Macaca fascicularis: one gene and its partner. The protein of the gene in region 1 purifies or fractionates together with the protein of each later gene. This does not show direct contact. Links are inferred from orthologs where the notes say so. Each region holds a gene or a part of one and is shown on either strand. Other genes may lie near its edges.

Region 1 (3,750 bases):
GATTTTGATGCTATTGTAATGGAATTTTAACTTAATTTTCAGATTGTTTATTGCTAGTGTGTAAAACTATAACTGATGTTTAAATATTGATCTTATATCCTGCAGTTTCCAGAACTTGCTTATTGGCTTTATTAGGTTTTTTTTATAGTGGATTTCCCAAGATTTTCTATATATAAAATCATGTCATGTGAAAGTAGCGATAGTTTAATTGTTCCTTTCTTATCTGGATGTCTTTCATTTCTTTTTCAGGCTAGAACTGCAAGTACAATATTGAACAGAATTGGTGAGAGGGGACAATCCTTGTTAAAGGTGCACTTTTGATAGGGTTAAAAGACCAGTGTTCAACACTTTCCAATCCTGACCTTGGGCAAATCATTTACCCTTTCTGTTTCCTTATCTAAAATCGAAGATAACAGCCTACAGTGTACACGGGTGGTCGTGTCTACTTTTTAGAAGCCCATGAGCTAGTGGGTAAGCAAATGATTCATGGAAATAATTACAAAAACAAGGTAACATATGCTAAGAGTTATTAGGGCTATGAATGATGTATCTTGGATACCCTATTAGGTAATTTTGTGGTGAAAAATTTGTAAACAATCTAGTGCTAAATAGAGAAATGGTTTAAAAATTTAAGATACCAATAACTTGCTTTCACTGTCACCTAAATTAGTTTGGTTCCATTTTTAACAGTCTTTTATTACAAACTGATATAATCATAGCATAACTAAATTCAACCCTGTTCTCTATAAAATCTCGTTTTGTAAGGTTTTACTATGATTTTGCATGCCATTTGATGTCCACAGGTAGTTTTAAGTCAAAAGGAAATCTGTAAATTAGGAACTGTTAATTTCCTCTTCATTTGGGCATCCTAGGCAGACTGTATAGAATTGTTCCAAGCACCCCATTAATTTGAGATTAGCCTAAGTTTTTCCTACGCCTGCACTTTGGAATATAAACATGTAGAAAATAGTCCATGACACAGCGGATGGGTTCATAAGTTTCTTCCGGGTTCTAACACCGAATCGTGCTGATGATCTGGCAATGGAGGCTAATCTTGCCATATCAAGTACGGCCTATTCGCTAAGCCGTCTGGGGTACTTTATAATTTTTTTCTTTCCTGGTCTGTTTGAAGGGCTCCTATAGCCAACAAGGTTGTCAGTCCCGTCAGTTACGCTGTGAGGACGCCTAAACGCTTTCAAGTACTGATGCTGCGCGATCGTGTGAAAGTGTTTCCCAGAGCACCTCCCTCGCGGGGTGGGGAAAAGGACCTCACTCCCCACGCCCCCTCCTTCCGCTGCAGGAGATAGCCACACCTTCCCCCTATCGGCGCCAAGCAGGTGGCCAGGCCCTCGGGACCTCGCGCCCCCGCAGCCCAGTGGCCCGGCCAGCTCGTGCGTCACGTGACGCGGGTCAGCTGCGCCGCCGGGACCTCCAGGCACCGCGGCGGCGACAGCCCAGCGCGTGGTCTCGGGATCTCATCTTTCCGCGCCCCTCCCCCCACGATCCCGGAAAAGGGGGAGGCCGGTGACGTCATCATCCGGGTTCTTGTCGGTGGGGCCACGGTTCACAATGGAACAAAAACAAGCGGCCAGAGTCAAACTATGAGCGACGCGGCTGCGGCTCACGCGATTAACCCCGTCGTGACCGCACACCCCGCCAGTCCCTGCCGCCCAGCCCCTCCGGCGTGGTGTGCCAGATCTTTTCGGGCCTCCCTTCCCCAACTTCGGTCCTAGAGCCACCTCTGCCCTCGTCCCGCTCCTGAGCCGAGGGGCATGGAACAGGATTTCTGGCGGTAGCACGACCCTGAAGGGGCCAGCCGGAAGAAACGGTACTGCGCGAACAATCTTTACCGCATTGTCTTCCCCTCCCCCACCCTAGCTCTCCGGGTTCCCAGCGGCTCGCGCCCAAGCCCGGCCCCCTCGGCGGCTCGCGCTGCTCTCCCAGCCTTGACGGTCCGGGGTGGAGGCGGGAGAAGAGGGGGCAGCTGAGCGGGAGGGGGCTGGGCAGGAGCAGGGGGAGGCCCGAAAGGAGGGGCCTGAGAGGGGCGGGGTCTGACGGGGGCGGAGAACTTCGGGTCTTGGGCGGCTCTGGGGCTAGTGGGAGTCTGCGCCGCCGCCGCCACCGCTGCTGCCGCCGCCGTCGCCGCTACCGCCGCCGCCACTGGCCGAGCGGTTTTTTTTTTTTTTTTGGTTTGCCGGATCCGCCATATTGACGAGGACGGGCATCCGCGGCTGCGGACGCTAGTCTCCGCCGCCGCCGGAGCCGCAACCTCTCCGCACCCGGCCCCGTCAGGGCCTCTGCCGCGCCGAGCCCCTCCCCGCCTTGCATAGCTCCCGGGCCTCGCGGGAGCCCTCCGCCGCCGCCTCTCTCTCGCGGGAGGCGGCCGCCTTAGCGCCCGGTGCTTGGGTCGGCGCCGGGAGCTAGGAGAGAGCTGCTGCAAAGCCACCAGGCCCGGAACGGGGACAGAGGCGGCGACTAGGGGAAGGTGAAGCCGTCGCTGCAGGAGGAGGAGCAGGAGGAGGTGACGCAGGAGAAACGCACCGCCCGGAGCCCGTCTGAGCTCAGCGAGAGCCCCAGCCTGAGGGGAGAAGGGGGAAGAGGGCCGTAGCCGGCCAAGGAGGAGGAGGAGGCGGGCGCGGCGAGAAGCGAGTTCCGGCGCCGGGCGTGCAGCCTTTTGGTTGAGACGCCCTCAGCCCCGAGCCCGGCCGCCGCAGCCTTTCAATACACTTTGTTGCCGGTCACCCACGGGCCTGGGATGCACCCAGGGTAGGTCTTGTCCCGAGACCGAGCCCCAGCGTCGCCTGCTGCCTCCCGCCTCCACGTGCCCTGGTTCTGAGAAGACGTCTGTGTCGTGCGGTGAGTGGCCAGCTGCACCGGGGCGACGCGCCTTCCCGGGGCCAACAGCTGGATGTGGGTGAGGGGAGGAGGGCGAGGGGGGTGTGCGTGTGTGTGAGCTTCTTCCCTCGGCGGCTGCCGGCCGGGCCGGGGCTTCCCCGTTCCCCCTCCTCCGGCCCGGGCTGGGCGGGCGCGCGGGGCCGTGTTGTGTGTGGAGCCGGTGTCCCGAGAGCGTGTCTTGTGTGTTTTGGACTGTAAGGGAAAATGGCTGACGGCTCCGTCCCTCCCCCTCCTCCCCCTTCCCGTCCTGTCTGGGGCCGAGTAGGAGGATGGAGTCTCCGGGCGTGGCGGGCAGCCCCCCCGCCGTCCGCACCCGGGGCCCGGGTCGGTTTGGGGGCTGGCCGCCCCCGGCCCGGCGGCCGCTTTCCTGCCCGGTCTGGTTCCACTTGACACCAAACGCCATTACTGAGGTGGAGTGATTTGGAGTCGGGGAGCTAGGCCTCGGCTACGCCTGGCTATCAGGCCTGACGACTTGTCCGCCTCCCCCCACCCTCCCGCGATAACCCGCAGTTTCTCCCCGGCCCTGGGCTCCTGGAGTCGGAGCTGGGTTATCGGCCTCCTACACTTCCTTAACCCCGCTTAATTTGCAGAGGGCCAAAGCCGTGAAAGGGGTTTTTGAGTGCAGAAATCGCTTCCAAGCTAGCTTGGACCTATTATCTTTCTATTTTTAACTGTTTCTGCAAATATTAGCATGTGCGAGTTTATTAGTGATCAGATCTTCAGATTCTTGTGACGTGAGGCTTAGGGTTGGATAAATGGCTGATTTTTCATTCATTGTGAAATAAGTTAAAGAGTTATAGAGCAGGTGTATAGATGGCTTCTTCAATTATTTGTGTGGATTTCTGTAGCGACTAC
Region 2 (3,650 bases), on another chromosome or scaffold:
ATTGGCCAGGCTGGTCTTAAACCCCTGACCTCATGTCATCCACCAGCCTTGGCCTCCCAAAGTGCTGAGATTACAGGCATGAGCCACTGCGCCCAGCCACCAGCCAGCTTTTATATGCCTCCCTGAGATTGGGAGGAAACATGGTTGCCCTAATCCATAGTGCTTAACCTCACTTTGGACTTCTGTGTAAACAACTCTTGGTGTTTACAAACCAAATAGCTATTTCTCCACTCCCAAACCTACCCTTGTGACAGAGTTAGCATGGCTGAACCCCCGGTTTGCCCAGTTCTGTTCTAATTTACACCAATTTTCCCAGTATAATTATTGATAGCACCCCCTTTGCCAGTTCGGAGGATTATTTGTTTGGTCTCTATGCCCTTGGCCATAGGATTCAGGGCAGGGGTATGGGGACCTGTGCTGTACCCCCATTTCGGTAGAGGAAGGATGGGGAAATGTATGCTGTGTATGGCCGAACACGCACATGTAAGAGTGACAGTCCTTGTGTGGAGGCGAAGACCAGTGGCTGCCGCACCCCAACCTCCACCCTTGACCACGGTCTCCACTCCTTGCTCTGCAGAGACAGGCAGGCACCCCAGGTGGTGGCAGTGGCAGTGGCAGTGGCGGGTCCCCAGAGCTCAGCGCCCTTCGGCTGTCAGAACAACTGCGCGAGAAGGAGGAGCAGATCCTGGCGCTGGAGGCCGACATGACCAAGTGGGAACAGAAGTATTTGGAGGAACGTGCCATGAGGCAGTTTGCCATGGATGCGGCTGCCACGGCTGCTGCCCAGCGTGACACCACTCTCATCCGACACTCCCCGCAGCCCTCGCCCAGCAGCAGCTTCAATGAGGGTCTGCTCACTGGTGGCCACAGGCACCAGGAGATGGAAAGCAGGTTCGGCATTGCAGGCCAGGCACCTGAGGTTTGGGAGGCGGGTGGCAATGTCCAGTCACTGCCCTGCCCTTGATCCCTGATAAACAAGCCGCTTTCCCCACACAGCTCAGCAGTCCCTCAAGCAAGCTGAACCTGCATGCTTGGCACACCAGGCGCTGTAAACTTGCATTTGCCTAGAAATACCGAGTCCTTGGTCTACCCAGGAGACTCTTACTGTGGAGGTGTTGGGTGCCGTTTAGGGCTTAGGCCCTGCCTCCTCTCTCCGGAGTGCTGCCCTCCAGGATGAGGGCTGTGCCTCCACTATCATCTGATGACTCTGGAACCCACCCTTGATGGCCTGCCTTTCCTGGTGTGGGAAGGGCCCAGGGCCTTATGCACTGGTGGTTTTCAGAGCCTGGGCTCTAAGGGCATCACATGCCAGAGCTGTGGTACCATTTCTAAGCCCCCTCTAGGTCCCTGCTACAAGCACAGAAAGATCCAGCCTGGCCGGGTTAGGGGAGGGGGGGTGCTTTTCCTCTAACTCCTATGAGGCGGGAAGGGTGGCTGGATCTATGGGTCTGACAGTGTGGGCATGGCCTCTCACCCCTCAGGTTAAAGGTGCTCCATGCCCAGATCCTGGAGAAGGATGCAGTGATCAAGGTCCTTCAGCAGCGCTCCAGGAGAGACCCTGGCAAGGCCACCCAGGGCTCCCTACGGCCTGCCAAGTCGGTGCCATCTGTCTTCGTGGCTGCGGCAGCAGGAACCCAGGGCTGGCAAGGGCTCTCTTCTAGTGAGCGACAAGCAGCGGACGCCCCTGCTCGGCTGACTACAGGTAAGAGGAGGCTGCTGCTGGGATAGATTGAGAGGTAGTTTCTCCTGGGCCTGAACACAGATTGCCAGACCTTTCCTCCCAGAACTGAGGCTCATGGGAGCCAGGGCTTCCTGATTGTCTCCCAGGGGAGCTGGCTTATTCTCTACCTCCAGTGACTCTACAGCCCATGGCTCTCCTGCCAGTGTGAAGAGGGGTATTTCGTCCCCATCGCCGTAAATTCCATCATGCTTTAGCCCCAGCCACTGAACTGAGAAAAATAGAGCTTCCTGTGCAGATGCACCTTCTATGCAAGCCCCCTCCACTCTTCCTTCTAAGCAGATGCCACAGAAACTCTAGAAGATTTAATCTACAAAGAAGGGTCCCACCACCCAAAACATTTGGAAGCCAATCCAATCTGGTAGTCATTCCCATTTTAAAATAGGAGCATTTTTAGTCTTAAAGTTCTTGCAGATCAAGAGCAGCCCACTCCACCTTGAATCCCCAGCAAGGACAGTTAACTTACAGTGTCCTTCACCAGGGCCACATCTTACAGGTGTGGCAATAACCATCCACCTACCTTCCCAGCAGACAGGGCACCCACAGAGGAGCCAGTGGTCACACCTCCCCCTGCTGCCCATGCCAAACACGGGAGCAGAGATGGGAGCACCCAGACTGACGGCCCCCCAGACAGCACCTCCACCTGCCTGCCACCGGAGCCTGACAGCCTTCTGGGGTGCAGCAGTAGCCAGAGAGCAGCCTCTCTGGGTAAGTCCTTCTGACCCCACTTCTGTGCTAGGCAGGGCCAGGGGAGCACTGGGGTGTGAACTGGAACACCAAAGCCTTTTCTTCCCAGCCCCCTCGGGGTCATTGCCTGTACTCCATGGGGAGCCCTGCATAGCCAGAGGTGAGCAGCGTGCCTGGCCCACCTCACTGTGAACATGAAGGGTGGCTGGCTGCATGAATAGGGAAATTGGAAACCCTGATTAGAGGCAGATCCAGAATTCAGAAAGAAAGCAACCAGATGGGAGGCACTTAAGCTCCTCTTTCATGGTCTTCCCTACATAGTTAATTTCCAATTTGATTATCCAAGAGAATGGAGCTTGCAAGTCATGCCGATGGCACTCTGGAAGCCTGTTGAGAGTCCGGGAAAGAGAAATCTGAGAAGATGCCATTTCTTTTTCCACTCCCCTTTCACACTGGCCTTTGCATATTTGCCTGTGCCTCCTGATCTCAGAAAACCACAGGCATGAAAAGAATGCTGCAGCCTCCCTCCCTCAGGCTCTCCATTGCTCTGTCTAAGCCCTCCAACCAGTTCAAAGTTAGAAACAAATGCATCTTACACATCGGAGGTTGGTGGGCTGGGCTGAGCACTGAGAGGGTGCAGAGCATTGTGCTTGGTTGGCCAAGTTCTGGGAACCTGGGCAGCAGAGGTGGGAAAAGTTGGTGAAGAAAGATCGTTGTATTTAAAATGTGCCAGGATTTTAAAAGCAATCTAGTAACACTCATTGGCATGTGCCTGTGTTCTTGTCTCTCTCCAGACTCTGTAGCTACATCCAGAGTCCAGGACTTGTCAGACATGGTGGAGATACTGATCTGAAGGAGGTGGTGCTTCAGGACTCTGAGCCATTCTCTCCCCTCCTCTGCCCTGTGCCACTCTCAGCCATTTCAGCAGCCTGTCAGCCGCTGCTTTGTCCCTTTCCCCAGCCAGACTCTCATTCCCATTGACCATCTGGCCCCAGGAGCTCAGGAGGAGGACCCCAGGGGAGAGGAGAACTGTGAGAGCACCAGCACCCCCAGAAGACTCTGCTTCTTAGCCCACATTCCTCCCGGCCTTATGGAGAATGAGGATTCAGCCTTGACTTGTTGCCCAAGGCCTGCTACTGGGGTAGCAACTGACAGCTCAGAAAGGTAGCTGAGCTCCCTCTGCCCTGCCAGTTGTCAGTCAGGCAGGGAGGGAGGGGCTGTGTTG

What was found.
Region 2: the proteins of USP9X (region 1) and AMOTL2 purify together in Homo sapiens (affinity purification with western blotting; 3 studies listed by BioGRID). This does not show direct contact. The link is inferred for Macaca fascicularis from reciprocal best matches to the Homo sapiens genes USP9X and AMOTL2.

What each region holds. Positions count from the first base shown.
Region 1 is NC_088395.1:41,066,940-41,070,689, forward strand, and holds the start of USP9X (ubiquitin carboxyl-terminal hydrolase 9X), read left to right. Parts: upstream 1-1,547; 5' UTR 1,548-1,828; intron 1,829-2,095; exon of another isoform or gene 2,096-2,856; intron 2,857-3,750.
Region 2 is NC_088376.1:37,267,025-37,270,674, reverse strand, and holds part of AMOTL2 (angiomotin-like protein 2), read left to right. Parts: intron 1-577; coding exon 578-891; intron 892-1,481; coding exon 1,482-1,702; intron 1,703-2,266; coding exon 2,267-2,446; intron 2,447-3,219; coding exon 3,220-3,278; 3' UTR 3,279-3,650. UniProt on the Homo sapiens protein: Regulates the translocation of phosphorylated SRC to peripheral cell-matrix adhesion sites. Required for proper architecture of actin filaments.